Linked DNA regions of Lepisosteus oculatus. The protein of the gene in region 1 interacts with the protein of each later gene in a pairwise test. Links are inferred from orthologs where the notes say so. Each region holds a gene or a part of one and is shown in the gene's direction. Other genes may lie near its edges.

Region 1 (15,519 bases):
GGAGTAATTGGATTTTGTTTTCTGTTTTCTGTACTGTGAATTCTGAGACACCCAGAAATATTGGTGAATTTTATGTTTTCTTTAGCTTTCAAATTTAAATTAATTTAGAGATGGTCTCAATAAATGTTTTAAAAAAAGACACTAAGCCTGGGTGTTATTTTTCTTGTTTTAATGCCAGTGTGGGGTAAATATAAGGTATAAGAAGACATCCTTCTTCAGTAAACAAATACATAATTTATATGTTCTTGCATTTAGACTAAAGGCTGCTTAAAAATTACATTTCACTGAAGTATAAAATATATAATATTAAGTTTCAAACTCACTTTTGATAATATGTGTAACTGAGTGTGTTATGAGTTAAAGACAGTATTTTTCAAACCGATTGAACTGTTTCAAGTGCAGCTTGACCATGTTGTTGTTGCTAGGAGACTAAGAAAGTTCCACACCAGGGACAGACACATTGCATCTTTTGTGCTTTTTATTTTAAATGTACCTCCCACACCAAAATCAGTGCCCCCATTTTACAGTGGAATTAGTTACAGTACGTTTCCTTTGCACTTCTGTATCCATTATATAAACATCAAGCTTCAATATAAACATCCATTTCTGACCTTGCAAGATACAGAAGGAGAAGGCAGCATGATGTGTTTGTACTCTGTTTTGTGCTTGGTGTTGTGGCACAGACAAGGAGGACCTCTTTACTGCTCCGCTGTTAGAGTGGTGGACACAGTGCGTGCAGTATTGTAAACAATTTTGAATACAAAAGGATACATGTGTATATGATGCCCATTGCACAATATAAATTAATATATTTTCTGTAAAAATGAAATGATATCCAAAACAGTATTATAATGACTTGCTAAAATGTCATGGTTGTTAGGCATCCCATGAAGAAGTGCCACACCATTTCAAGGCCTCTGAAAGAATATGGACAGTGATAGCAGTGAAGAGTTTTCAATATTTAGTGAACATTATGGCTTTTTGAAACACACTTCTCATGATATGAGCATAGAAAAGCAAGTTATGGTTAAGGATTGTTACTCCTACTGACCGATTGATACCTAATTGTATTTATATTCTGAGAGAGATTAAAGAATCTGGTACTGTTGACAACAGGAAAACAAAATCTATCCGGAAGTGATGTTAATCTCCTCAGAATAAATTCCCTCCTTGACAGATGTGAATCCTGTAGAGATCTTGAGAATGACCTTGCTTCAAGTTCAGGTGTTAATGTCTCTCCGGGAACTGTAAAATGCAGAGTAGCACAAAATGCTCCCAACTGCCATATAGTAACTGGTTGCAAGCCATTTCTGAGGTGAGGAAACATACAAAGACAAATGAGCAAATACTTCTAAGCATCTACAAGGTTAAAGAGGCACAAACTGCACAAAGCCCACTCAGGAGGGAGAATATGTAATAACTTCACCGAGAAGAGACTAGAACACAAGGATAGAGATAATCAAAGCAACCCAATGCTACCACAGCCAGGCCAATCACAAGAGATGCGACCCAGTGAGGACTTCTTGGACATCTGTGCCGACAAAGCTGCTGCAGTAACCCCCTCTTCCAGGGGCTCTGTGACACTGATTCTGCACCAGGAATAGGCTACATTCCTACAGGGCTGAGCTACAGTACAGTACAGCATTCATCCTCAAAGTAAGCTTTCAAGCAAAACATGGCACTATAAAATATTAAGGAACAAGTAATAGGTTTATTCCATGCTGGAAAGAGAAGAAAGAAAACACAATGTTCCGCCGAAACGTTGTTTTCTTTCTTCTCTTTTCAGCATGGAATAAACCTATTACTAGTTCCATTGCAGCCTACAGTACGCATGCTGACGCAGCTACCCACCTGACCTATAAAATATTGGACCCATCATGAAGCAGCATACCAAATTGTTTAGGAAAAATGTATCTTGTGATCATGAGACCACGTGATACGTTGTTTACTACCATATAATGCCCCATGAATAAGAATTTAATTTTTTAAATGTCTACGATAGTAAGAGTCTTGTGTTCAACCATAAAATGTCAAGCATTGCCAGACCCTTTAAAAAACGACAAATTGACAATTATTTGGTTCTTTTTAATCTTATTGTTCGTGCTGCTGCTACTGCTGTAAAATACATTTCTTGAATACCGTGTTATTCTCGGCCGCCCTGACTCTAACGCTAAAGAACGTTTTTCAGTTTTAAATGGGGAGGCGCCCTCTAGTGGATAAATTAACAGAGGAGCAGGGGGTTGATCGTTTCTCATCTGATTGCAGAGTGCAGCATGAAATTTAACAGAAGAATACCAACAAAATAATTGCTACAAAGGAAACAAGATTACATATGTTTTTATTTTCCAAAGAAGCCTGTAGTCTTAGTTATTAGTTTTGGGAACTTATGTCTTCTTAGGTTTAATATCATTCCTACAGAGATCCTTCATGTGTCAAATAGGCATCTGTAGCTGCTGCAGTACTATCGGTTTGATTAAAGGTTTTGGTGCCTGTCTGTGTGGAGTCAGCATGGTCTTCCAAAGACAGGCAGGTTAGGTTTCATTGGTGAGTTTAAACTGTCTCTGTAATGAAAGCCACCTCTCATCCAGTGCCATTGCAAAGTTCTAACACGTCTGCAAACATGATGAGTTTTTTTTACTTGTTCTTTGTAAAAAAAAAACTATAGGAATGTCCTATTTATAATTCCAAGCATATTTGCAGACCCATGAAATGGCAGGTCGTGTAGATGTGAAAAAGTACTTTATCAAGTACTTCACTGATTCACAAGGAGAACGTGGGGAAGACCAGACTAAGCAGAATTCAGCCAGGACTTTGGTATTAATGCCCCCCTACTTTTTCTGAGTTTTTTTTTTACGCTTACATATCTTTCCAAACTACGAAAAAGAAGCATTGTATTTAAGAATTTAATAAACATAGAAAGGGAGACAGCATGATTGTATACATTATTTCATATTTTGCCATTAATGACAATAATCCATTTACCCATTTTCTTACCACTTCATCTAATTCAGTGTCGAAGTGGAGCCGGAGTCAATCTCAGCAAGCAATGTGGACAAGGCAGGGTATTCCCTGGACAGGACAAACACACTCACACCAGGGTCAATTTTCCTAGAAGCCAATTAACCAATCTACAGTATGTCTTTGGACTGCCGAAGGAGAGCAGAGCACCCAAAAGAAGCCCACACGATCCTGAGAAGAACTAACAAATTCGACACAGATAGCACCCCAGGTCCAGAATTGATCCCAGGGCCTGAGTGTTGTGAGGCAACAATGCTAACTCCTGCGCCATTGTGCTGGCCAATAACTATAATACTGTATATAATAAAATAGTTTTGTATTTTTAGTTCTGATCTTCTGTTCGTCTGAGGAAGATAAAGACCTGTTGTCTTATCTGGTTTAGTGTTAGTGTCTGTGAGTGAGACATGCTGTTATTGTTAATGTGATGTTTGTATGACATGAAAAGTCAAGGGTTTAGATGCCTGTGTGGGTGCTTACATTCTTTAAAAATAGTATTCCTGCTCTGCCGCGCACATTCTCTTTCTGTATTCAGGTCCTCATGATCCTTTCAGCTCCATCTGCTTTTATATCGGCAGAGCCTCACAAGGGTTTTGTATGATAAAATAAGAATAATGCACAGCACACCTATCTAAAGTGAAAAAAACAGCTCAAGAGCATCTCTCCTATCTCCCACGAACAAAAAATAAATGGTCACGCAAAGGCACAGTGCCATTGCAGTTAAGATTAAATGTACCAAAGAACAAGGCAAGGCCATGTTTTTTGACACACAGTAGTACGTGGAAACGACTGTCTTAAAGACACAACTTCCTTAGCCAGTTTGGTATTGCAATGGATTTGATTCCTTTAATCTTCAGTACAAGGCTCTTGTGCTTGTGCTTTTGCATTTCCTTTCCCCTGTCTTAAATCTAAAAGACACTAGAATGGAAAGGCTAGAGAGTGATCTGTAAGCAACCAATCTAATTACTGTGTACTAACAAGTTCCAGTGCTGGCTGTTGATGAGCTTAGTAACCAATGCAGATTCCAGTACACACAAAAAGAGCTTTTAATAGAACAGAGTACTGAATTAAAAATAATAATAATAAAGGCATCAATGTCAGGATACTGCAGGTCTTTTCAATCATCTATTTGATTGGACCTAAAAAATGGTTCTTATCCAAATAATTAGTTCAACTAAGTAATTAAGATTAGGGGGGGTAGTGACTTCTGAAATACATTATCATATGTTACAGTACCAAAGGACAGTTACTTTAAAGGAATTTAGACTTCTTGATTTGATATAAAAGACTCATGCTTTCACAGCTCTGATAACACTCTGTGTCATCTTCCCTTGCTTTGAACCCAGTGTTTCTTTCCTTCCAAAGCAGTGTAACCAGAGACAGATCTGTGACCAGCATACTTCAGTGGGCACAGACAGCTGGCAGTTCCTACAGTAGATTTATGAGCTCAGAAAAGAACAAATGAGGTGAGTGGCTTGCTGACATCCAACTAGTCAGAGCCTTTTGAAGAGCTGTTTGCAATCATGTGTCACCTGTAAAACTTTATATCCACCCTCTTCTACAATGACAGGCAATCTGTGCAGCATAAAATCTTACCACGTCTTTTTTTTTTAAACAAGATTTTGTTATTCACGGTGTTCAGCATTCATTTGAGACACTGAGCTTAGAACTCCCATGTTTTTCACATTGCTATCACAATTATTTGCTCTCCCTCAATAAAAAATGAAATAATTACAATTAAGTAGCCTGTGAGTTAGTGAAAATAACAAGAAAGTGAACCTCTCATTAAACTTGAAAAAAAAAACAACAGTTTGGCTTACAGTTTTGTGTGAAAAGAGCAATAGTGTCCACACCCTGAGCTGTAAAAGCAGAAGATGAAAGCCTTGTGAATTACTTCATTTTCACAGGCTATCCAAAAGTGGAAAATAAAAATCCTTATCAAGGACATTTGTGCACCAAATATTTACAAGTTTTCTTGTAAATGAGACATTGAAAGGTAGCTAGCCAATTTTTTGAAAGACAATGTTATTAATGTAATGCCTTCCCTTCTACTCTACTGTTAACTGTTGTCGTTGTCAGGGTTTCTTAACACCACCTTATCTTTTTCAGTTTCTAGGTTTCACACAAGGTTTATTTATATCAAAAGGAGCTTTGCCACCATAAATCAATGTTCTTCCCACTGAAAATGCAGGGAATGTACTGATTTAGCAGTTTACATTGTTAAAATATATGCTTACTTGAGCATTTTTGAAAGCAACTTCACTGTTTTATTTCAACAAAAGCTCATTTAAAAATGTAATGTGTTATAAAGTAAGTTTAATGCATGTGGAGGGTAATTTTGCACAAAGCAATTGCATAAAAATTTCGATGATTAATTCTCTGAAATTAGGCCCAATTTATCTAGGGTAACATAAGACTTGGATGCATGTCACCATGGTAACAAGTAGGCCATCATGCAGTGAATCAAAAATAAGTATATATTACAAACCACAGCGCAAGGAAGAAGAAAGAAAGGTTTTAATATTAATAATCTGCATGTTTACTAGAGATTAAAACTTAAACCAAAGAAAGAATCCATTCATTTTTCTGTCTATACCTGTCTGTGTATCTGTAAGTTTATCTAAACACAAAACACTGTATTATTGCTTTTTATCTGTGAACCAAGAGAGCACTGTACGTTGGATTGACAGTGAGGAGCTGTTATTGAGCTGCCTGTCACAGCATGGAGAGTGTTATTTACACCTGGATGAGGCTTAGTTTTGACCACAGTGCTCCACTTGACCCCTCTGTAAATGGCAGCTTCATTGCTGCAAAGAGGAGCAATTGGCCAGCGTCCCAGACAAGGGAAGTCTCACTCTCTTACTGCCGCCAACACGGAGGTGAGCCGTGGATCCACTTATCCCCCTTTTCCTCAGGAGGCCTGACGCCATCGCGGAGCAGCCCAGAGAGACAGTGGTACTGTACACTGCTGAGCCAGAGCAGTCCGGCTCCAGTCACATCTAATGAGCAGGCTGCCTTCCTGCTGCTTGGGCTGCTGGCCTGAAGGTGATCAAGCGCTGCATATGAGATAATATCTGTCTTTTTTGTATCTGTCCATTGCTGATTTGTAATTTCTTTTAGTGGGATTGTTTTCTCTCTCACTCGTTTAAATCCAGTGTAATCAGACTCATGCAGGAATTTAAGCAACATGATTGTACATTCTCAATGTGTGTTATTACTTTGGACATTTCATTCATTGCTTAATGTGAAACAGCTGGATTTTTTTATCAACTTCCCCACAATATACTGTGTATCAGGTATAATTTATTTAAAACCTATTTTTTTTATAACTAAGCACGGTTTGTTTTCTGGTTATTGTGAAAGGCACTCTAGCTGCGGGTTCTGTATTGTTGTACCCAGTCTTCTTGTGCTCAAATTATCCGGTTTAAAAGTTACCATGCGGAGAAAAAGAAATCCGCGCATGAAAAGAACGCTCTGGGTGCTTAAAAGAGAGTAGTCCAAGGACCGAAAGTTATTCTTGTGAGGTTGAATAGTAAGCTCTAATGACTCCCTATAACTACGCAAATAATTTTCATGAACTGAAAATGATTCAAATACATAGTAAATACATTTTAAAGAATTTGTATGTATGGGACCATCTTCCTTTTCATGCGTGCTGCTTCACATTGCTTTGAGAATTGCAAATAATGCATCATCAACAGTATGGAAGACAAGGGACGCATATACAGTAGCAGGTTTGTTAATCTAATATGCGTAACCGCATCGTTCGTAAATCACATGTGTTAAATACTTTTTATCACGGAAGTATTTTACACGCTTTTGAAACAATTTGTGTTAAAGCGCCAGAAAAGAGTGCAATCATATCCAGAATTCCAATGTCAGGAATTCTGATGATTCTCCAAAACCTCATTTTATTTGTCATTGTAGTGAAAACCTGCTTTTTGAAACAGTACTTTAAGTTGTATCAGATCCAAATTTTGTAATTATTTTGTCTAGTTTTGTTTCAGAAGTAATTATCAATGGATACTTACAACCTGGTAACCCTATATAAGAAGTGTATAGGGCTACCTCACCACAATGCAGTCGATTTGTTTAATTAACGCGCAGCGGTAGTACAGGACCGCCAACCTGTAGGTGGCAGCACATAAAAAGGTGGAATTGACTTGTTTTATTTATTTTCGTAAGTGAGTTTTTAAAAAAACATGCAGTGGTTCCGATAGGTTGTTGAAGTATTCCGCCTCCCTTCCTCTGACCAATAAAATGCAGGGGTGGAGATCATGTGACATTGTTGCTGGGCAGAGAAAACAAAAACAATCGAGACTTGGAAGTTGCAGCTGGGACTGGGTTTGAGTGAACACAGTAGGTTAGTACAACTAGTGGATACTTTTGCGGTCATAACATTGCACTCCAGTTGTAAAGTATGATCGCTTTTGTTCAAATTTTGTAATGTACGAGATTAAGAAAACAGAAATTAGGTGTTTTTGGAAGCTCTGATTGTTGTTGGTTAAGTACTGTAGATAATAAACATAGTTAACACTAAGTTGGCATACTCGGTATATAGTACAAGACTACAGGTATTAGTAAACGAAACAAGGACGTTAAATCAGAAACATGGCTCAGCTTCTTTTAGTGCTGTTGAATAATTAACTGCACCTGCTTTGCTGCATTCAAATTATGGCATCATGCTAATGTAGTGCAATTGATGCGTTAGTCTGCATTATTCTAAGCATTTACTGTAATGGGTCATTTAATGCAGTGTTTATCCACGGTAATGTATACATTTGTCATTATTTTACGTTTTGCATCAGGTACTTGTTTAATTTATCTGCTGGATTTGCAGAGCGAAACTCGTAGAATTTTCTAGAAACCAAGTAGCTTGCCAGTGGTACCCCACTAATGGTGGGGACCGTTTACATCATCTTTACAGCAAAATGTTTGAATGATGCTCTGGGGTATCGCCGTGGCTCAAAGGTATAGGAAACAGGGAATAAGAAATCAAGATCGTGTGTGACACAATGCTGTTCCCGCAGAGAAAGGGGGACAGAGGATCTCCGGGCATGTACGGACAAGTGTGTGACTTCAATGTCTTGCAACTTTCCTGCAGAATTTTCGTTTAGAAAAACACGTACACGACGTGCAGGGAAAGCCGTGTCTGCAAGTGTGATAAATTTGCATTTTTTGACGGAAGGATAATAACTTCGGCTTTTGTTTTGCTTTTGCAGCGGACCGCTTTGTGCACCATGGCGACCGAAATCGAAGCTTGGCTTAACGCTAACCACGTAGGTAAGATGCCTCGTTTGCTACACTCCCCCTACAGCCAGCTCGTTTTTTAACATTTCATGTTTTTTTTCTTGGATTTTAATGTGTTAGTTATGGACTTTCTCTTACTTTATATTACCGTGGCGCAAAATGCACGAAGGAAGTACAGGCTGTTATTTGTCGCTGAAGTTGGGGAGTCAGTTGGAAAGAGGTGGGTAACGCTGCTCTGGTGTTTAAGGAATCTGCTCTTGCATCCAGAGTGACTTGATAAAACATCCAGCTGATGGAAAGACAAAATGCGGCGACTTCCATACGTAGCTCAGAAACGACGAAAGACTGGAGTTCAGCATGTGCCAGCGAGTATATTTTATTAATTTTAAACGGCTTGTTAGATCTTCACTTAATGAGGTAATTGAATTGTACATTCTGCTTTCAGAGTGACGATTCATTTGATAAGGTTCTGAAATTGAGTTGTTAGTTTTTACGGAGAGCACTTTTCTCTAAAGAAAAGAATGGTATATGCTCTTAGAGTTGTATTGCAATCTTGCGTTTCTTTTCATTACTTTAAAAGGGTCATATCTCTAACTTCTAGTTATTCAGGTATCTGTAGTTATACCTAAAACTATAAGGAGGTTAAGTAAGTTCTGTAAGCATTAATTACCATCTATCTGTATGGTTTAATTCTGAACCACACCTTGCATTGACATGTTTAATTAAAGTGAGGCAAGCCCTTTTGCAGACATCACAGTCTTACATATGCAATTCCTGTTCACACAAAGTCATTTGAGCTTATTACGGAGATTATTGGGGGTCTTTTCAGTTGTTCTGGAGTGTCCTTTGCTGAAGTGTGTAGTTCCATACAGCTTGATTTTGCTTAATCTCAAAGTGTTGTGTAGGAGCAGCTCCTGACTGACTGTGATGGACTTGAAAACGCATGCAGAGAAATTCATGTGCTGCTCTCGCCACTAACCAGCTGCTCATTTGTAGTACGGCATTCTAGTTTACAAATACTGTTTTAAGTTTCCACAAATGTTGTCCACATCCTGTTTAAAATCGTGTCCAATAGATAAGTCACCTTTCTCTTGTTTGCAGTAGCGCAAACTGATCATCGTCAGTGTAATTGGGAGAAAGCAAATCTGAGCCATAAATCTGCTTCGTGAATCTCCTCATTTGGCCAAGGTCTTTTTATGTTTAGTTGAAGAAATAGATGCAGTTTAAGATCAAACTTAATTCAGTGGTACACTACCATGCATATCTTTGGCAATGGGACTTTTTTTTCCCAGTAGGACTAGCTTTGTGCCTTGTACTGCTAGAAATGGCAAAAGGTTTAGTAAGTAGTGTGACCAAATATGGTGGAATATTAATGAATTAAGTCTGATCTTAACTGCAATGGTAAAAACAGTGGAAAACATTGTTTCATTTTACACCTGAGAATTTGATGTTCTTGACTTGTCCTTTTATTACCTGTACTGACCTCATTCCAGCTGGCAAGTTTAATGTCGGATGCCTCACTAGACTGTCGCCAGAATCAGATTTGTATGTGTTTTTAATGTTTGTCCTGCGTGAAAGTACCATCTGAGTGAGGAGCAGAGCAGCTCTTGTCCAAGTGGATTTCTTCAGCACATCTTGAGAGACCTGTACTCTATACATTCAAAGACGTGCAGTTAATAAAGATGCTTTAAGCTTCTCCTTCCCTTTTTCTTCTGCTTTAATAGATTTGGCTCCTGGCTACAGTGGTTCACAGAAGGCAAATCTTTGTTTTCCTTCTGGCCAAACAGAATTATGCTGGAAAGCTTATCAACTTAAGTTTAAATGAAGGTTTAGGCACAGGGAAGAAATCTGTGGAAGGAGTTTGAATGTCAAGAGGCCAGTTTGATTGAAACAAGACCCATGATCTGTACAGGTGGTAACAGCCAGCCTGTTTCTTTTGAGATTTCCATAGTGGGGGGACAAAAAAATGTGAGTGGGACTGATGAGTGAATTGTCTTCTACAGCAGCCGAAGCTTTGAGTGACTCCAGTCCGTCTGGTGAAGACGAGAAGGTGGAGACCACCAAGCTGGACAATGAGATGAATGGGAACTGGATCACCTCTCCCACAGTTACCATCCACGAAGCGCGGGTGAAGGCCAAGGCCAAGAGGCGGCTGAGGAAGAACTCCTCCCGAGACTCTGGCCGGGGGGACTCCCTCAGCGATAACGGGGAGAGCACCCGCAGCCCGCTGGTCACCCCTACCAGCCCCAAGAGCAAGCTGCTGGACAGAAAGTCCCGGTCTGGGAAGGGCAGGGGACTGCCGAAGAAAGGTAGTTTTCTGCCAGTCTTGTCTGTTTTTCTGCAAGTCCTGCTTAATTCGGTAGTTATCTCCAAATATGTTGCATTAATTTTTAAAAAGATAAGATTATCAAGTAGCAGGTGAAGAATCCCAGATGTGATGTACAGAGTAAACTCGTAAATGTCTTTTTGTTTGTATGAGTTAGAAGGATCCTCAAACAGCTAGTTTTGCTGACGCCCAGTTGATGCAATTACCTAGATGAAAATGTATTTGATTTTGGACTACCTTTTACAGATAAAATAAGTGATATCCAGTTGATGTGAAAGTAGGTGCTAATATCCAGAACCTGTTTATTTGACCTACATTGCTCTCTGTTTCACTGTAGGTGGCTGTAGTAGTGGTTGGGTCTTCTGTTCATCTGGTGTACCCGTTTGGGGTTGAGCTCATACGTACAAATGCAATAGCACAGGATTTCAGTGTGTTACCAGGTAGTGCATTTTATAAGGGATCAGAGCAATTGAAAACCCCCTTTCTTGTAGTGTCAAGTGAATTTAAAAATTAAGAGTTGCATAAAGTGTTTATTCAAGTGCCGAAGTGCTTGAAAGAGTCACTGAATGAAGTGCTGCACAGATGTACCCCGTTGCCCAGATGCCTGCTTATCATGGGAATTGTGAGATCACTGTTTTTAAGGGGTTTACTGGAGCCATGTTTTTCTCCTGCCTGGTTTACTTACTAAGGTGTGATATAAAAGTGTTTCAGACAGGAGCACTGAATACAAACACTGTAGGACCAGTGGTTACATCCTTTGTCAGTCATTAAATAGGGTGTTTCCAGTACATCTGAATTTGAGTTGGATAAGTAAAGTTGATAATTACTTCAGAATTTAATTTTCCTTTAAAAAACATAAATCAGTGACTGCACAAAACTTGCATTAAACACAAGGAAAGCAAGTGAGGCTTTGAAAACTCACTGGTGAGTCAGGCATGCCCTGATATTTAGCAGCAAAGACATAACATTTGAAAAGGTAGTGTTTCATGCTGTGCTTTCTACATGGCCTTAATCAAACTTACATCTAACCTTTACACGGATGCGATACAAAAAAGCCTATTGCCATTCACCTAAAGGTTACAAGACACGGTAAAATATCTTTTGAAATTAATTTGCTAGGGGATTAAGATGCATAACTGATATTCTAGTTGCAATTTTTAGCTGTTACCCATCAGTTGGAGAATCTGACAGTGATATTTTCCTTGTTGTATTTCTGTAGTAGAAAATTAAAGTTTGCTTTTTGTCATACAAAGAATTTACAGATCAAGAAGATACATTTTGTGTAGGTGCACATCTTGTATGCAGAAAAACTACATATGGTGCTTCATTGTCAGAACTCTTTATTTTTAAACCAGCCATTTGTAAATTGGGAATAATCTTTTGACCGATGTAGCCCAGCCTCCTCTTTTAACCACTGCTGGTGTCTCTTACAGTTTCTGTTGACCCCAATCTTGGAAGTACGTACTGAGGGGCTACGTGCTGCACGATGATGACTTTGAGCCCCGTAATGAATGAGATAAAGGTGGACTTTCCTGTTAATCCCTCAGAGTACATTAGTCTAAGTCCCACATGAGTTATGATAAGATGGAACAATATGCCTTCTTTGGCAGACTTCCAGGGCAACATTGTTTTTCCAGGTCAGGATCAATTGTCAGAAAGTGCTCATGGTGCCACTGAGCAATTTGCTCGACTAGCTAGAGCTATTTTGCTCTCCTCTCATGTAGGATACCAGCCATTGTACTTACTATAAAAAAACAAATCCTAATTATGTCAGAATGGCTCATTTTAACACCAAGTAGTGTTTAGTTTGGGCTCTGCAAAGTAGCCCATTGAATTACTTTACTAATATGAAGTTTTATGTATGGAGATGATGGAGATGGTACCTTTATTAGGTATAATTGACTTGTACTTTAATATTTAGTTTTTTCTTGATAAGAAAAAAAGAGCTGAGATATACCATCACCACTTAAATAATCACATATTTACAATGTACAATGTCTGTTGGAGCCATTGCAGAACTAAAACCTGTTAAACAACTCTGGTTGATGCTGCAGTGGTATGTTTTAGTTGACTGGCAATTCTCATGACAATGACACAATTCTCATTTATTGTATCTTATTGATTCTAAGTCATTTTTTTTAACCTATATCTGCAAACTGGCAAAGCTGTCTTTTACTAAATGTTTGCACCTGCTTAAGATGACTAACCCGGAGGTTTGTGTGCCTGGAAATGATTGAGCTCATTTATAAAAGCAGCAAATGGAACACAAAGATCGATTTAGGCTAGGAACAGAGATCAGATTTTCTTTTTGGGTGTGTTTTTTAGCCGTTTTCTTTAGTTTCCAGGGTTAAACAGATGGTCTGCAGCCCAATAACTTACAAGGACAAATACAAAAAAAAGTGCTCTGTCGGAGACATTGGAAATGAGTGAGTGTGCATTTGGTCTTGGAAACCAATAGTAAAGAGGTGAACCTGCATGTGCGCCTGCTCTTGCTACCCTTATATTCTGAGCAGGTTCAGCAGCAATGCGAATAATGAGAAAAATGTTGTTTTTTCTTTTAGTGCAGTTAAGTCTTTATTTGACCAATTTAACTCCTACACCTCGGTCATAACCTGCTCACAATTCAGTGAGACTTCGATGCAGCACTGCAGACAGCTTGGGGTTCATAGCTTGGAATGCTGTACCTTTCAGCATGATACTTCACTTGTATTGCTCAGATAAATATTCTGCTGCCTCAGTGAGTTCTTTCCATATTGTCATCGTCAATGATGGTTTCTTCTTCACTGATTTTGTCGGTTTAAAAAAAGGATTGCAACCTTAAAGGAACAGAAGGGGCTCCCTGTGGCAAAATCCTCAAAACTTTTATGCTGTAAAGCTGGCTGATATGCCATTGTAGTATCCATCCATCCATTTTCTGTTTTATCCAATTCAGGGTCATGGTCAGCCAGAGCCTATCTCAGCAAGCCATGGCCACAAAGTGGGGTACACCCTAACCGGGACGCCAGTCCATCGCAAGGCAGACACAGACACCCACACACTCGCGCCAGGGCAGTTTTACCAGAAGCCAGTTAACCTACCAGTATTTTTTTTTAACTGTGGGAAGAAACTGGAGAACCTGGAGGAAACCCACGCGAACATGGGGAGAACACACAAGCTCCACACACAGGCACCCCAGAGCTCCAGGGTTGAAAGCAGTTCGTTTGTGATGTAGGATCAAGTGAAGCTGAAACCCGAAAATTCAGCCAGATCACATATATACAATAACAGCGGTGCAGTTCTTGATCAGTAGCCAGGTTTCTAGTGTTTATTATATTTACAGTTCTGTACTATTGATCCCTGCAGTACACCAAAAAGCACCACTTGGGGATAATGATTATGTTGGATCTTGTTCCTGAGGAGTATGTTTTTTACTCTCCATTTGTAGGTGGCGCTGGAGGTAAAGGAGTTTGGGGCCCTCCTGGCGAGGTGTATGACCTTGAAGAAATCGATGTCCGAGACCCAAATTATGATGAAGATCAGGTAATGATGGCTGAATTTCTTGCACTCCTGTCCAGGGTGTGAATTCTTACCTGCCCAACTTAAACTTTGCCATTAAATTTGGAGAACAATTAAAATTTTAGTCAATTATGCATAAATTATTTTAATTTATCTACATATAATAGCATCTTATAAGTTCGTAAACCTCTTTACTTCAAATGTGAACTCATCAATCTTTTGGAGTTTTTGGAGTAAAGTATTGAACAGTTTAACATGGACCAGTAGAAAGTGCAGAAGAGAATGGAGAGGCACAGTCGTTTTATGTGCATTAGTGTATGTAACGAAAAAGAAGCATTATACCTATATTAGCCCACTGCTCCTAAATAGCTCTGCATATCAAAATTTCTTTCCTCTTGAATGTGTTCACTGTGACGTATTTAAATACAGATCATTTCTAGGATCTACAGATTACTCTTTTTGGTACATGAGTACTCCTTATTTTTGTGGAGCTTATCTAGACTTGGTTTTGCTTCTCTTGGTGTTTATAAAATTTCTTTAACATTCTGTCATAATACTCTTAACATGCTTGCAGTTACTGAGTGATACTGTGGAAACAATAGCTGTGTTTTGTTTAAAGTTTTTAAATACCATCAGATACATAACAAATGTTTTGAGTAACACACTACTTTAAAAAATCCAGTAAGGTACTGTATGAATTGTGTTGCAAGATGTGGATAATTGTGGAAAAGCAGTACTGAACCTTTATTAATAGTGATATGGAAAAACCAGAGTATCAATCAAGTATCAATTTAAAAAACTGAAATAATGTTAACATAAAAAATATTATGTGATGCTTAGCTATGTCTTTTATTTTCCTACTAGCTCTGTCTGTACTTTGTTTGGCATAATGACAGTGAACAAAATTTAAGTTAACGCCACTACTTGGCTTTCATGGTCCTGTGATATTGTAGGTTATCACAAAACAAGGCCCCTACTGTTAGCATAAAATGTCTTGGGTCACTGCTCTGCAAGATATAAAGCACTGATATTCTTTGTTGTTTTAAGTATTGTACTGTGTATAAGCAACCCTTTGTGTCCTAGCTTACAGTATGTATCACAAGATCAGATGAGTTTGTTCAAGTTTGAATCAGTCCCATTAAACAAATACTGCCAAAGCTACTACAGTTCAGGAGGAAAGTACTAATGGTGTGTGTGGGATGGGGGAGAGTGTTGCAAAATTGTAGACCGCATAAATAAAGCTAGACCTAATTAAAATCCAAATTTATGAAAGTAATATTGTGTGAATAATTCCCCTAATTCCTGCAGCATTGTGAATGAAGGTAGAGCCTTGTTAATGGAACATGTAGCCTTACAGTACATTACCCTTGATTGTGCAACAGCAACAAGTACTTTCTCCATGGTTGATTGTGTATTTTCTATGACACCCTGGA
Region 2 (15,902 bases), on another chromosome or scaffold:
TTGGCATTCACCCTCCAGGAAGTAATATTTAACTCTGCCCCCCCCTCACTTGGAGAAATGGAGAATGAACGTTAATTGAGAAAGGCCAACAGTTATTTAAGTATTATTACAAAAATATCTTAGTATAGCCTATTTTTATCTTATTTTTTTAAAGGTCATGTTATTCAGTGGTACACACTGATATTCAAACCCTTGAAGGAAATGTCTTCAATAATGAGTAAAATAAAAGATAAAAGTAACATTGTTTTTTTTAAGTCTAATTAGAAAACTAGCCTTTGACTGGCAGGTTCCTGTAGTTACAGTATGTGACAACACTTGAGTGTTAGATGAGACACGAGGTGTATGACCTACTGGACAGTTATATCCCAGTATCCAGAACAGATCCGGGTTCTGCCGCAGGTGAGCCAGATACTACAAGCAAACGAGGGAACAGGGTCCAGAGTATCTGGACAGATAAACATTTCTTCAGTTCAGGACTGTCAGAGCAGCTCTGTACTCTGGAAAGATCAATGTGCTTACTCAAGCAAAATCTATGAATGACAGAATTAATAATAGACATCCATTCCAGCAGAAGTCTTGCCTTAACTGGAACATTTGTGGACTGCGATGGCCAAGCCAATTTGCAAAGCTTTCGGGAAAACATCATTTACACCGCTGACTTGATGCACTACTTCTGGGGTCTTGTACTGTGAGTCCAAGTGGTTACATGTGTTTAAGAGAGCCCCCGTGTTGGCGATGAGGTAACCCATCTACACCCTCAGCTTTTCGGTTGAAAGGACAGAAGCACAGGCAGACAAGTCGTCTGCGGCGCACAGGGGACTCTTCCAGAATGACCAGTGCAACATGACTCAGGGGACTCAAATGGAAGTTAAGAGGAAGTGCTTTTGAAACAGAGAGCATGAGGCACTTATTCACACAAAGGGTTGTGGGAGTGTGTAACAGGCCACTCAGCCATGGCGATGGCAGTGATACCCAGGCTTCTCTTTCTGGAACAGATTGTTAGATCAACGAGGTGCTAGTAACCATGTGAGCTGGACAGGTGGAATGGCCTCCTCCTGCTGGTAACCTTTCTCATGTTCTTAAAATTATTGTTTAAACGGCTTTGTAACCAATTATAGTAAACAAACAAAACGCTGCACATGTGAAAGCATGTCTGCATCGTCCACCCATCCATTTTCTAATCTCTTTGTCCCATACAGGGTCAGGGGGAGAACTGGGGCCTACGCTGCTCAGCTGTCTGTATCTTTCTAGAAGGGAAAAATTCTTAAAACAGGTGACATACCTGTAGCTGGGACAGCACTATCTTTGTAAATCCCTGACTTTTGAAACCAAAATATTGATTTTTAAAGTTTGCAAGCCTTGAGTGACCGAGGAGCACTAATAAGCAAACATTTGCATTCTGCCCTGGCCAATCGCTGTCCGATATCTGCATTGACCAGGTTGGGACATCTTATTTGAACAGGTTTGTTTGGATGAGTGGGCTGTATTTGCAGTACCAGGGGTTATATATACTGTAATTATCAGTCAGGCATCTCTGAAATGGGAGTCTGAGTTTGGAGAGGACTTGCACTGGGTACCTCTCTGTCCACACTGCTGTGAAACCCTTCCACTGCTCATGTGCTTTCACAATGTTAAATATCAAGCTTTTAGCAATTTTTTCAGTCTCTTTACTGATTTGTCTTAAAGGGGCTCGTTCCGAAAAGATTCAAGCTTTCTGTGATGACAAAGAGGTTGAGCTAGCTGTGGATCATGCCATTTTAGAATATAATAAGAACCTTACCGGGGGCAACCAGCTTGCACTCTTCCAAATCAGTGAAGCCTGGAAAGTAAGTAGACGTTTTTGTCTCTTTGTGATACACTGCTGGGGATGTCAGTTTGAACAGAGTTTGAACTCTGTGCATTTTGTTAACATGCTTCAAAGCAGAATTCTAGGTGGTTTCATATGAAAAGTCAGTTTCCGCTGTGTTTCTGTTTGTGTGTTCATCTGTCTAACTGTCTGGTGGGCTTTTGAAGTGTATCAGTGGTGGGAAATGAAATATCTCACAGTTCAAGCAGGTAGCTGCGTCAGCATGCGTAGGTTTATTCCATGCTGAACAAGTAAAGGTTTATTCCATGCTGAAAAGAAAAGAAACAGAACATGTCAGCTGTGGAGCTTTCTTCGGGTGTGAGAAAGACAGGAAAGTCAGCAGAGATTATATAGAGACATCTAGAAAACGATTTAGGGGAAGGCATAGTGGGTCACTGCAGAAATAGGCTGAAGTATTACAAGTAGGCTGCTGTGTTGACAGCAGCTGAACAGTGCTCTCGGCTACTTCTAAAGGACAGAATTATCATACAGTAAAACCCCAATGACTTTGTTTTTTGTCAAAAGGCTTTCTTATTATGTGTACTATTGCTTTATGAAAGCGTTTAGCTGGAGAAAGTTGTTCAGTTACTACTTTGTGAAACTCTCCTACTGTATGTTCTCAAACTTCTTTACAAAATCCATGATCCTGAAAATGGAGGCTTGAGTTATCAAATGATATTACTGGCCCTGCAAAAGTTAGACTGTGATACCCACAGCCCAGAAATCCACTGAAATGGATCCATTATACTAATACTACAGGTCCAGGTCCTTCACAATAACACCCTGGTGAAGTCAGAGGTGGGAACACGATGTTAAAAGCCTGACAAATCCAGCATTCTTGTAAGACTCTGATTTTATTGTCAGATAGTTTGAATTAGTAAATTAGGGCATTGAGCTGTGAGTGACTGTTGAATTTCTCTGGGCGCCCGCATTGTGAGGGTTAAACGGTCTCTCTCCTGCTTGTGCCCAGGAGGTGAGTGACACGGGGACAGAGATCTCGCTGCTCTTTCTGGTCAAAGAGTCTGACTGCCCTGTGGGGAGCGACAAAGTCTGGAAACAATGCGACTATGTGGCAAACAGCCAGCTGAGGGTAAGTCAGCTCCTGCAGTGAGCTTCTGTGGTTGAGGAAGAATGTTCCAGCAGAACTTTGTTTTAATTTTTTTTTAATTTCCATTTCCCAGGCCCCCTGGCCATGCACTGCTACAGTTGTAATAAATCATCAGGAAAAATCGCAGGATGTTACGTCAGTGGAATGCGTTGCCTCTGGTAAGACTGAATCAATTGATTAATCAATTGAATAATAATTAAGTCACACAATGGGGGCATTACAGTCAGTTAAGGATCTTTGGCTGGGTGTCAGCTGAGTCACTGCTCACAGACGAGTTGCCCTGTGAAGCTTAGGGTAATATTGTCAGCAGTGTCAGAGTGGTTTACTAATCTATTACAGCTGGACTTTAATATTATTTAAAGTCATCGTTCTGCTTCCAGCTGAAGAAACGTTTACCAATAAAAAAGGTTTATTTCCCTCCAAAATACATTTTGAAAGATTGCCCTTCAAGACCTTGAAAGTATCATAACTAAAAATGAACGGGAGAAGATATGACGACTAATTGATGCCAACAACAGACAGCAGGTATTGCAAGTAATTACTGCCAATTGGAAATATAAAGAAGAGATGCAATTGATACATTGATCGAGCATAATTCCTTGCAATGTTGCTGAGTTTCTGATATTATAACGTTCACAATGTCTCCGTTATTTTGTAAATTAGTTGACAAAGGTTTCTAGTTCAAGTATGTTTTGAGATAATTAAATGAGACCAAAAAAATCAGTTTGAATCCTCTGTTTTTTTCAGTCGAACCGAATATTGTTCCTGAATTTTATCTGTGTGCTGGGTGCCCTCATGAAATAGACTCCAACAGCGACTCAGTGACAGAAATACTGCAGTTAGCGATGGAGAAACTGAACGCCCAGGACAATTCTTCACACCACTTCATCGTGTCCGCAGTGACCAAGGCTGTTTCACAGGTTGGTCTCCACCCTGTTGAAGCTCATGAACAATACAACTACACGTTACAGATTGCTAGTCTATGTCTCACAGTATCAAGGGCACAGGAGTCTAGGATGTTATGCTATTGATTCATGTTCCTTTCACTTATTATTTTAACAGCAGCTACAACAATAAAATTCCAGTTTAGAATTTCCCAGACACACTCCTTTGACCCTCTCTAGAGCCAAAGTGAAATCGGGCCTCCTGTGACCTCCATAGCCATTCTGAAACACAGGCCACATGCTGCAACAGCTCTTTTCTCTGTACTCGCTGACTCTCTGAGCCCAGGCCTCGCTCTCTCATGATGCAGACTAAAGCTGGACTTCTTGTGATCGTCCGGACAGCTGCCTCTGATCTGCACGTTGCCTGTTGCTCAGGGTGACTCCCTCAATGCTTCCTTTCAATTCTTTAGGTGGTCAGTGGGATCTTGTATAACATTGATTTCGAAATTCGCCTCAGCAACTGCTCCAAATCCGAAGTGGTGAACATAACAAGTGACTGTCACCCTGACGAAGACAGAAACGTAAGTGACATGGCCCAGTGTGCATGTCTCAGTTAACCAAATATGCAAAGTTAGCGCTATCTTTATTTTATGCAAAAGAACACATTATGAAACACATATGTTAAAAACTAATGTATTGTAATGGAACTAAGACCTTAAACAGGTGTTTCGGTAGAATGAATTGAATTATTGGTTGAATTTTCTAAATTAATCTCTACACAGTTAGATCATCTGGTCCATTAGCATTGAAAATCGTGGTCACATCCAGATCGTCGTGGTCACAGTATGTTTTTTGCCATCAATGACTACAGTTAATGTCCTTTCAGGCCCTGCAGCATGTGCTCGCTCACTGCATAAACAGGGCTCTTATTCAGAGTGCTCATAACGATCTGACAGTTTCAGCAAAGCCCCGCCCACAACCCACCCAGAGCTGGCATCAGATGTCATGACTCCCTTACCGAGTCCGGGCGGTAGCAGTGAAGGGAGGTGCATGATTGAAAAACGTGTAAGAGGTTCTACAGCAGCTCAATGTAACAGGTCAGCTTGTGAGCCTGTCTCTCCACCTGTAACCTCTGCCCTTTCTCGTCTGCCCTCAGGTTTTCGCCCAGTGCAATTCTTCCGTTGTTGTTGCACCTTGGAGGCAAACAACTGACCCAACTGTGACCTGTGGACCCCAAGTGCATGTACCTGTAAGCATTTACATTTATTATCTGGGGAAGATGATGAAGCGGTTTTAGTGATGCTTTTTACAGCCACCTTTACATACATCTCATGACAAAAACAGCAAAGCGGCTGAATTTGTAGCACAGCTAGAATAAAAAACAAGCCCCTGGGAAAGTCGTGTGTAACATTTTTTCTTAAACTTTTTGCCGAGGTCACGTGTAATAGTTAAATCGTGCTTTTTAGAATCTGTCTTGCTTTATTGTTTGTTCATTCATGCTAATTTTTAGATATTCTTTGTGAAAACTAGTGCTCAATATGATTCCTGTGCAACACTAGCAATTTTTAAATCCCACTTGGTGATTAAGTTGCTGAATGATGAGAAACATTCTCAGCATAGCTTGTGAACTTTCTATTTTTTATAGAACACCTTCGCCAGGAGGCCCCCTGGCTGGTCTCCTTTCCGAACTGCAGCTGTGGCTATAGACGGTGCCCGGCCTGTAGCACAGCCTCTCCCAGGGCGTCTCATGCAGCAGGATGTGCCCATGATACGCCTGGATCGTGGGCTTCACTCCGGGCGTGGACACAGCCCAGGCCATGTACAGGGTCCTGGACAGAGTCACAGCCGTGGACAGGGACACGGACAGGGACACGGACAGGGACAGGGAAAGGGACACGGACAGGGACACGGACAGGGACAGGGACACGGACAGGGACACGGACAGGGACAGGGACAGGGACAGGGACAGGGACAGGGACACGGATACGGACATCAAGAGGAATTTCCACCGTTCCTGCTGCAAGATCCTGATGTGTCTTCTGAAGAGTCTTCGGAAGCTACAGGAAAACCCCCTGTCCTGGCCACAGCAGAGTCCCCTGTGCTGGTGGTCGAAAGTGCTACGCAGGGCTCTGGCCCAGGACCGGTGATCGGTCAGGACTTAACGGAGGCAGGTGGTGTTCCACTGGGGTCAGCTCCCATTCCAACGAATCCAACGGCTCCGACGACTGGTCCTGCAATCTCGCTGGGGTTCCCCCTGCGTGAGACTCCGTCCTTCCACTGCCCCTCCAAGCCATGGAAGCAAGAGCCCCCCCAGACGAACCCCACATCGCCTCCTCTAAATCCCCCCTCCAGCTTCGACGACCTGGACTTGTTGCCCTAAATAAGTCCCAGAGGCTTCTGTCACTAGACCCTGATGTACAGTAGGTACTGTGCATACAATTAAATGCTTTCCTACGTTTATGATGCAGTACTAAATCATCCCAGAAACATAAAGGAAAAGAAGACCCGTGCCCAGGACTATATTTTATGACGTACTGCTATTTCACTCTTATTTGGCTATGGTGGATGTAATTTACCAGTGTTTGAAAGTTATTAAAATACACAGTAAATACCAAAGTTGTTGTCCTTTATTTCTAAAGGAACTCTAAAATCCACACAAAACAAAAGCTTTTCATTTCACACTTTGACATTATTTTCAGTGTGTTTTGAAAGACCTGTGCTTTTGAGCTTTAATCAAAATAGTTAAAAACATCTTTAATGTATTATTATTATTATTATTAATTTATATGACTGTTATGATATTTAAAAACATTGTAAACTAGAAAAGCACTGAAGAAAGGTTTCCCTTCACTCTGGAGAGTGAAAACTTAAACAACATAATAACAGTTACAAATGAGAGGTCTCCTGCGATTTAAAGGTTCTGTTCCCTTTAGTATAGTAATTATTGATAAAAAACATCATCATCATCTGCTTATTCCTGGTGAAGGGCTGCAGTGCTAACAGGCTGCGCAGGGCAGGGCAGACTAGACCCCTTTTTCCCTAGCAACAGTCTCCAGCTGCTCCTGGGGGATTCCCTGAGAGACCTACTCCCTCCAGCGAGCCTGGCCGTGCGCAGGAGACGGCCAGGGTGCGTCCTCACCACAGGCCCAGGACACCTCAGCTGGCTCCTCTCGATCCCGGGCGGCAGCAGCTCGACTCCCGCGATCCCATTCTCCCTCTCACCGCCCCGACACTTTGATAAAAAGTACAAAATAAAAACACACTTAACTGTTTCCCTTGATTATATACATAATATATATAGTTCCAGTGGGTAGCTAGGTCAGCATGCGTAGGCTGCAAAGGAACACGTAAAAGGCTCCACAGCCGAAACGTTGTGCTTTCTTTCTTCCCCTTTCAGCATATTACTTGTTTGTAAATATATATACAGTAGTTCACAGCTGCTGGCAGAGGTGCCACTGGCAGCGCAGGCTTTTGCCTTCGGGGCGTTTGGGTGTACGACCATACGACAGAGACACCAGCTGTGGGACTGGAGGCCCTTTAATCCAAAACCTCAGAGACGAGAGCGCCAGGCCAGATCCAACTCTCTTTTTCAAACACCACCAATTTTAATCCACCGCCTACTCACAGGAGGGCGAAAGGCTCGCTAATGAGCCTGCAGGCCCCGAGGCATCGTGTGTATCGGCTGAATACCCTGGTTAAAATTCAAGGTAATTCTGTAATCTAACTATTCCGATCAAGTCGCAGAGCTAGAATTTAAAAACTGGAGACCTCCATTAACTATTACTGTACTTTTCAAATAATTATTCGGACGTGTGATCAGCATTGTTTTGTTTTATTTTCTAGTTGCGTTTAACTTCAAGGTTGATTTTGCTTGTATACACATAATAACACACAAATAATACAAAAAGTTTGAAACTTTCCCTGTGCCCCTGTAAATTACCTAGTTTCTGGAAAACACCTGGTACACCGCTGGCCCACTTACGACTACTAGCGGCGAGACCCATGACACTTCACTTCCTGGAATGCAGCCAATGGGAAAGCAGTGTCCCAGAACTGTGGACGGAACTTCCGGTGTCCTCATATGCAGGGGCTTTCGGGAGACCCCGTAGTGAGCCGCATAGCCCTTTTCTTTTACTGCAATATCCTTCCGCTGAGTTATATAGTCCGAAATGCATTTTGTTAAAAAAAATATTACCTTATATTCACAACGCATCATAGGAACGTACACGCATTTCTGTTCTCTGTGTATTTATTATGGGGCTTCGGGAGTGAGAGGTGGGTGTTTGTCGGGGGGTTTCCCCCTTGCCGGAAGCTGGGGTCCGGCTAGATAAAAAGATGAGCGGGTGAATGCCTCCTCCTTTTCAGTTGAGCGCTGAAGCTTCGGCCGGATCATGTCAGGCGGTTCTGCGGATTATAACAGGTAAAAATCGACAAGAAAAAACAGAACCAGCCGGTCTGATATTAAAATATAACCATCTTTTATTATTTCGTGTTCGTGCTGCTTCTCGGTATGCCGAGGTGTAGCGGTTCCTTCGTCTTGGAACGTTTTTCGCGTACTAGATGGAGAGGCGCCCGTGCCGAACTGGGGCTCTGGAAACGCCTGTCGGGTTGTGGGAAATATGTTTCGTGTAATCGTGTCCGGCGGCTGTGCAGCCGGAACACCGAGCTGTAGGCTTTTTTTGTGCGCTGTCGGGCTTGTGTGGGTTTAGCGAGGGCGAGAGGGGGGCGCTCGGCGAGCTGCCCACCCAGTTTCGGGCTAGGCCGTGATTTTTTTTTCTCTCCCCCTCCGTGTGGAGGGGAGCCCACGGCGATCTCTGGCTCCGGGCCCTCGGCGTGCTACTGGGCGGGAGCGCCTTGTGCCTGCCGGTAGCCTGGGGCCGTGAGCCTCCGCCGGTCCGCCGATGAGCACTTCTGTAATGGAGTCGTGTTCCCCGCTCCCGCCCTGCCCGGCTGCTTACGCCGCGGGCTCGACGGCGGTACAGTGGAGTAACGGGTGGGAGACGCTCGGACGCAGTGAGGTGATGGCCTACCATCTTTCGGGACTGACCAGTAATGGAGACACCCTTTTTGCTGCTGATCACTGCCGTCCGAGCCGTCCATTCCACGTGGCCGGGGTGGGGGCCCCCGGTGGGCTCGCCTTGGGGGGTGCCCGCACCACTTCTTGCCGTACAGGGCCCGAGTCGAGCCCCTGTGTCTGCTTAGCAAGGCCTGGGCGAAACGGAATCCCGGGTTGAAAGTTCGCAGTCTGCCTGGACCGAGTTGCTGGAATTCGCTGACGTTTCGCTTCCACCCTCTTGGTTTTCGCAGCTCTAGAGACAGAGACCATGGCGGCCCGGAAGGAATGGAGCCTGATGGTGTCATCGAGGTGAGAGTCCGAGCGGCGTGTAGGAGCGGCTCGTTTCGGGTGTACGACTTGGCACACGTGGGCTTATCATGTCTGCCTCTTCCTACAGAGCAACTGGAATGAAATTGTGGACAACTTTGATGACATGAACTTAAAAGAAACGCTCCTCCGTGGTATTTATGCCTATGGTTTTGAAAAGCCATCTGCCATTCAGCAGCGAGCAATCATTCCTTGCATTAAAGGTAAAATGTCCAGTGTGTCACTTCTGCATATTGCTGGGAGGAGTGAAATGATGGTATTCCATCTTTCGGGACTGACCTGGAATGGAGATAACACTTCTTACTGATCACTCTGACCAAGACACTGGTTGAAACTTCTTAAGAGATTGTATGAGATTCAGAAATACCAGATAGGTTTAAATCACACTTTTAAAGCAAGGGGGAGTTCAGGTGCCTTTGTGGAAGTGTGGGGAGCTATGGTATGAGTGCCCCTCTAATAAGCACAGTGCTCACGAGGGACACTAAAAGTGAGCCCCCTAGGGTTTTAGCACCATCAGAACTGGCATATCAGCTAGTAGGTGAAATTCAAATCCTCAGCAAGTTGGTGCTGATGAACTTGTAACTTTTGTTACTAGATAAATATTAAATTGTACCCTTAAAATGTTCTACAAAAGTTGATCAAAGCTTATTGCCTTGTCTTTTTCAGGCTATGATGTCATTGCTCAGGCCCAGTCAGGAACTGGCAAGACGGCCACCTTTGCCATCTCCATCCTGCAGCAGCTGGAGATTGACCAGAAGGAGACGCAGGCTCTGGTCCTGGCTCCAACCAGAGAGCTGGCTCAACAGGTATGCCGCACCTGAGGACTGAGAGAATACAATGTGGCACAGTAAACCAAGGCAGCATGTTTGGATGGTCTTCCAAAAGAAGAGGTACTAATTTTTCTTTGGGAACAGGTAATAGGTTTATTCCATGCTGAGAAGAAAGAAAGCACAGCGTTTTGGCTGTAGAGCCTTCCGAAACGTGCTTCTTGTTTCAGCAGGGAATAAACCTATTACTTGTTCCTTTGTGGCCTGTGCATGCTGATGCAGCTACACACCTGAACTATTTTTTGTTCAGCCTATTGGTACTGTTCAGGACTCTTCATTTCTTAATGTGAAAGTTAATGTAAAAATTCTAATTGTTTTGCAGGATAAGTTACAATACAGCTGTGAAGTGCTCTATTGTCGTTCCCCCTGCAGAAAGAAACTCGTTTCATACTATCCCTGACTGTCCTGTCTTGTTGACTGGCAGGGACGCTTGGTCACGAACACTGTCATTCTGCTTTTGCATTTTGTGTTAACGTACATATTTAGTGTTGTTGTCCTGTAGTTCTGACACGGGATTCTTGGTTTTCTGTCAGATTCAGAAAGTAATCCTGGCTTTGGGTGACTACATGGGTGCCACATGCCACGCCTGCATTGGGGGCACGAATGTGAGGAATGAGATGCAGAAGCTGCAGGCGGAAGCCCCCCACATTGTTGTGGGCACCCCTGGGCGGGTGTTCGACATGCTGAACAGGAGGTACCTGTGTAAGTATCTGCCCTTGATGGGCTCTCTTGCAGGGAAGAGGTGGTGAGCTAGTGTTTGGAACTGCGCTCTAGAGGAGAGAACTATTATTTTAAAACATTATCACTGCAGTATCTTGCACATAAATAGAAATATTTAAAGGGGAGTGACCTTGAACTAAAATGTTCTTTGGTTAAACAGCTCCTAAGTGGATCAAGATGTTTGTTTTGGATGAAGCTGATGAGATGTTGAGTCGGGGATTCAAGGATCAAATCTATGAAATTTTCCAGAAGTTGAGCACAAACATCCAAGTGAGTGTTCTTTTAGTGTTCTTTCAGTAAACTGGGTGACACAAATTCACAAAGAACTGCATTTAATAAGTATGGAAGACAAATTATAGCACTTTTATGCTGGTGCTTTTCTGACAGTCTTCACAAGAGCCATGGATACTGTTCCATGTTTGATCCCCCCAGAAAAGTTATGCCATTTGCACACTTGGAAACATGATTATTCAGAAATGGTTTTCCTTGTGGGCATATTGGCCATAATTGTAGTTCCAGTATTTTTGGAATACCTCTGTTGGAGGTGGGATAGTTTGGGAACAGTAGGTGAAGACTTTGGTTCATCTGGCGTATTCCACTTTTATGTGGAAGTCTTCCTTACAAAAGAACTGTGCTAAAACTGTGAAATCCATTTAATGGATTTGACAGTAATGCTAGCAGAGTATAAACGGGAAGAAGAGTATTTGCACTGTACTGCAAAAGAGACTTGGTTGGACCTCTTTCTTAATGTCCAGTGTCCATGTTCTCAAGGTCCAGTGCTACATTCCTTGCTTGCTTGTTTGGAGACTCGATTCTAAGAAAGCGGTTATGGCAATAATGTGACATTTTACAGGTCGTGCTTCTCTCGGCTACCATGCCAGCTGATGTGTTGGAGGTGACCAAAAAATTCATGCGTGACCCAATCCGTATCCTCGTGAAGAAAGAAGAGCTTACCTTAGAAGGTATCAAGCAGTTCTACATCAATGTAGAAAGAGAGGTGGGTGTTATACTACAGACTGCACTGCGTTGTGCTATGTAAAGTGGTGGTTGTGGAGGGGAGTCCCCAAAGCGCTTTGAGTGGAATGTCCAGAAAAGTGCTATATAAGTGTAAGCTATTATTATTATTAAAGTGATAACATTCCTTGCAAGTTAGCCAGCAGCCATATCACCCTGCAACTCACAACCCACTGAAGCTATGCAGGTGTGAGCCTGGTCAGTACCTGGATGGGGGACCTCCTGGGAAAATACTAAGGTTGCTGATGGAAGAGGTGTTAGTGGGGCCAGCAGGGGGCGCTCACCCTGCGGTCCATGTGGGCCCTAATGCCCCAGAATAGTGACGGGGACACTATACTGTAAACAGGCGCCATCCTTCGGATGAGACGTAAAACCGAGGTCCTGACTCTCTGTGGTCATTAAAAATCCCAGGGCGTTTCTCGAAAAGAGTAGGGGTGTAACCCCGGAGTCCTGGCCAAATTTCCCATTGGCCCTTACCAATCATGGGCTCTTAATCCCCATCTATGAATTGGCTACATTACTCTGTTCTCCTCCCCACTGATAGCTGATGTGTGGTGAGTGTTCTGGCGCACTATGGTTGCCGTCGCATCATCCATGTGGATGCTGCATGTGGTGGTGGTGGAGGGGAGTCCCCATTACCTGTAAAGTGTTTTGAGTGGAGTGTCCAGAAAAGTGCTATAGAAGTGTAAGCAATTATCAATTATTATTTTCTGGGGATGGGGTTTTAATTATTTTTCGTTCCTTCTAGTAAAAGCACAGTGCTGAAATTGTGAGACTCAAGCCTCTTTGGTTTGGCTCTTGTGATAATGCCAGCATGAGTACATCCAAGAAGGAGAGCAAGTGCACAGCATTGGAATGAGACTAGGATGGACCTCTTTCTTAATGTCCGGTGTCCTCTGTCTTAAGATTCTGTGCAACACTTTGGATTTAGAGCTTGTCTTTTTTTTTGCTATACAAATAAAATCAGGTTTTTACTTTGGGATTTCCCCTCTCTTGCAGGAGTGGAAGTTGGACACGCTGTGTGACTTGTACGAGACTCTGACAATCACTCAGGCTGTCATTTTTTTGAATACAAGAAGGAAGGTTGACTGGTTGACAGAAAAGATGCATGCCAGGGATTTCACAGTTTCTGCTCTGGTGAGATCAGATTTCCTGTTCTGCTCAGGGTAGCAGTGCAGTACTTGTCAATGTCCTGCACATTTCTTGCTGTCCCCTTTAGCACAACAAAACAGGCAGTGATTAAATGCTCTTTTGGACCTTTGACTTTTGCACACTGCACATGTATAATGTGTTCTGTTGTGTGGCGGGTTAAAGAGGGATTGTTATCTTCATCTTGTGTATGTACTTGCAGCATGGAGATATGGACCAGAAGGAGCGAGATGTGATCATGAGAGAGTTTAGATCTGGATCTAGTCGTGTTCTGATCACAACTGATTTGCTGGTGAGTACCTGTTACTTCTTTATCTTAAGATGTTGGTTTTGCATCTTTTAAGTCATCAGTTAAGTTTCAAACACTACAGTGCTCTCCAACATTTGCATGTGAAAGCATTTCAGTACCTGTTAAATACATTGTAGAGCTGGAGTATTTCCATTTGGAAGAAAATGGGACTAGAAGAATTCTGCTTTTGAGGAAGTTGTTAAATAGAAGGCTATCCAACATAAAGATTATAGAACCATGAAGTTTTGTGAAAATTTACATGGTGTAGCTAGTTTGCCTTTTAGAAGGATGTCATTCAGCTGTAAAAACCCAAAGTGGAAATTCTCCTAAAATCCAGATTTCAGTAATTCTCCTTTGTTAGAAAATTACTAGAAGAGGTCTAAGTGAAGTGTTTTGTTTTTAAGGCTCGTGGCATTGATGTACAACAGGTGTCTCTAGTCATCAACTATGATCTACCCACTAATCGGGAAAACTACATACACAGGTGAGTGACAGTTGAAATGAAATCCTGGGGTATTCCCCACTCTAGTCTATAACTTGAGCTTTTCTGGTACGTGGTGCATGTTGAAACTGTTGAGCGTAATGTTCAAACTAATTCATTAAAGCTATAACTTTATTGTATAATTTTATTTCAGATTGTAGTCTTAAGAGTGAATCGTGTCTTTGCTGGTTAAATCAGACCTGTAACTGACCCGTTTTCTTTCGCTCTTTGCAGAATTGGTCGTGGTGGCCGTTTTGGCAGAAAAGGAGTTGCTATAAACTTTGTTACTGAAGAAGACAAGCGGATTCTTCGGGATATTGAGACTTTTTACAATACTACTGTTGAGGAGATGCCGATGAATGTGGCTGATCTGATTTAAACCCTGGGATGAGATTGATCTTATGCGGTGCTCGCTGTTGTTGAATAAACGCGTGCATTGTGCTTATTTTATTGGAAAATATTGAATCTTGTCTCAATGCTGAAAACGGATCAGAAATCCAGATTTTTGAAAAGTGAAGCGACATTTGTCGTGAACTCTTGTGAGGATAGCCTTAGGCTTACTCTTCAGAGTTAGACTGCTGGGGTGGGACATAAAGACATGGGGTCTTTAAATTTTTTCTTTATTAGGTTTTTTTTTCCTAGTTTAATAAAGTTGTGTGTGTTAGATGTTCTCTATCATTTAATAATTTACTTATGGACTAAAAGATATAAGTGCTGTATTAAGTCTGCCAATTATGTGAAATTAACATATTTGCAGTTATTGTGAAGTTTGGGTCAGTGGGGATGGCCTTCTAAATTGTCAAAGCACTTTTAGTTCATTTTGTGGAGATGTATTTATTGAATAAACTATTTAATCACTTACGGTCTATTCATTTGTAACATCTCAACTTGTTTGAGCTCTTCCTCCTTTAATGTGGGCCGTTTAAAATTCGCTTTCCTGACCTTTTAATTTTGTTTTAATCATGAAGGCCAAATTGTTGAAAGACCCCATTTTGAAATAAAGAGGAATATGTGGTTATGTGTGTTCTTTGTTTTCTAGCTTTCAAGACCACCATGGGATCTTTTTCCTCCCTTAAATTCTAAATTTTTAAATCTAGCTGTGGGTCAACTAAATGAATTTGAAATTGCAGTACTTGTATCTTTAAGTCAATGCCACTTCCATTAAGTCCTGCAACACGGTGGTACTTAGGGATTTTCAGTGTTTGTCTTGATTCAATGTTTTTCTTGTATTGACATTAGGAACTTGCATTCCTGAATGTTGCGAAGCACTGCTGTTCGCTAACTTACATCTGTGCTTTAGCATTCTTAATGGTATTACATCTGCATTGAATATAAGAGTATGAATTAAACTATGGTCTTAAACTGCATTTAAGTTTCATTTCAATAGCTTAAATGGACTTTACATTGCTAAGTAAAGTTTTTTTTTTGCATGTCAATGTATACAAAAGGCATAACTAGATTTTATTTTGGCAATTCTGTTGCTGCACAACCAATTAAAGCTTCAATTGAAAGCCTTGTTCTTGCTTCTGTAGTTCCAGCTAAGTGCTAGGTTTGCAGAAAGGGTATTTAGTTTTTGGAGAGGTGATGTGAACTTCACTGTTCAGTATCCTTAATGGGAGTGGCATGAAATGAAGGGTAAGGTTTATAGCCACATTGGCTCAGATTGATGCATGGAAACAAGCTCCCAAGATAAATGGGTGTTTTAGGATTCAGAATTGATTTCATTATTGCCAACCCATTCTCTTGGAATAACTTTGATTTTAACTATAAGTGGTGAAGAGTACCCTTAACAAATAATACTAACCTTATCCATCACCAGAAGTAGAAGTTTTTCAAGACCATGTGCCATTTAGTACTTTGGTTCTGCAGTGGTGTATGAATTGACAATCTGCACCAAGCTATACATGTGCCAGAAACATTCAAAGTGCAAGCCATTTCTCAAGTGAAGCACAGTAGCCAACCAGGACAAACTACAATACAAAGTACATTCTAGATTTTTTCCTTAGTTTTAATATTACAAGTGATCGTTTAAAAATATACAATAAATGCTCTTTTTTCCATACAGATCATTTGGGCACCAAAATGAATGCATTTTCTATACCGAGGCAAAGTTTAAATTTCAGGGGAAAACGTCTGCAATTCCCTGTGAAGTTTCAGTAGGTCCGTTCAGTTGTTCTGGGAGCTCTGCTGCATAATAACAG

The links.
Region 2: the proteins of pdcd4b (region 1) and eif4a2 interact in binary tests that used the Homo sapiens proteins (3 or more experiments, as listed by UniProt). The two-hybrid records come from large-scale screens. The link is inferred for Lepisosteus oculatus from reciprocal best matches to the Homo sapiens genes PDCD4 and EIF4A2.

Annotation. Positions count from the first base shown.
Region 1 is NC_090699.1:39,628,026-39,643,544, reverse strand, and holds the start of pdcd4b (programmed cell death protein 4b), read left to right. Parts: upstream 1-8,015; 5' UTR 8,016-8,030; coding exon 8,031-8,084; intron 8,085-8,237; coding exon 8,238-8,298; intron 8,299-10,268; coding exon 10,269-10,574; intron 10,575-14,015; coding exon 14,016-14,110; intron 14,111-15,519. UniProt on the Homo sapiens protein: Inhibits translation initiation and cap-dependent translation. May excert its function by hindering the interaction between EIF4A1 and EIF4G. Inhibits the helicase activity of EIF4A. Modulates the activation of JUN kinase.
Region 2 is NC_090708.1:573,845-589,746, forward strand, and holds eif4a2 (eukaryotic initiation factor 4A-II), read left to right. Parts: upstream 1-8,149; 5' UTR 8,150-8,229; coding exon 8,230-8,258; intron 8,259-8,849; exon of another isoform or gene 8,850-8,921; intron 8,922-9,145; coding exon 9,146-9,203; intron 9,204-9,291; coding exon 9,292-9,424; intron 9,425-9,464; exon of another isoform or gene 9,465-9,534; intron 9,535-9,887; coding exon 9,888-10,027; intron 10,028-10,364; exon of another isoform or gene 10,365-10,492; intron 10,493-10,581; coding exon 10,582-10,750; intron 10,751-10,928; coding exon 10,929-11,038; intron 11,039-11,380; exon of another isoform or gene 11,381-11,555; intron 11,556-11,621; coding exon 11,622-11,765; intron 11,766-12,521; exon of another isoform or gene 12,522-12,704; intron 12,705-12,781; coding exon 12,782-12,919; intron 12,920-13,133; coding exon 13,134-13,223; intron 13,224-13,624; coding exon 13,625-13,704; intron 13,705-13,935; coding exon 13,936-14,080; 3' UTR 14,081-14,719; downstream 14,720-15,902. Other genes in the region: kng1 (kininogen-1), read left to right, coding at 1,629-1,826, 2,817-2,936, 3,028-3,112, 3,702-3,874, 4,309-4,419, 4,995-5,087, 5,484-6,218; rfc4 (replication factor C subunit 4), read right to left, coding at 15,868-15,902. UniProt on the Homo sapiens protein: ATP-dependent RNA helicase which is a subunit of the eIF4F complex involved in cap recognition and is required for mRNA binding to ribosome.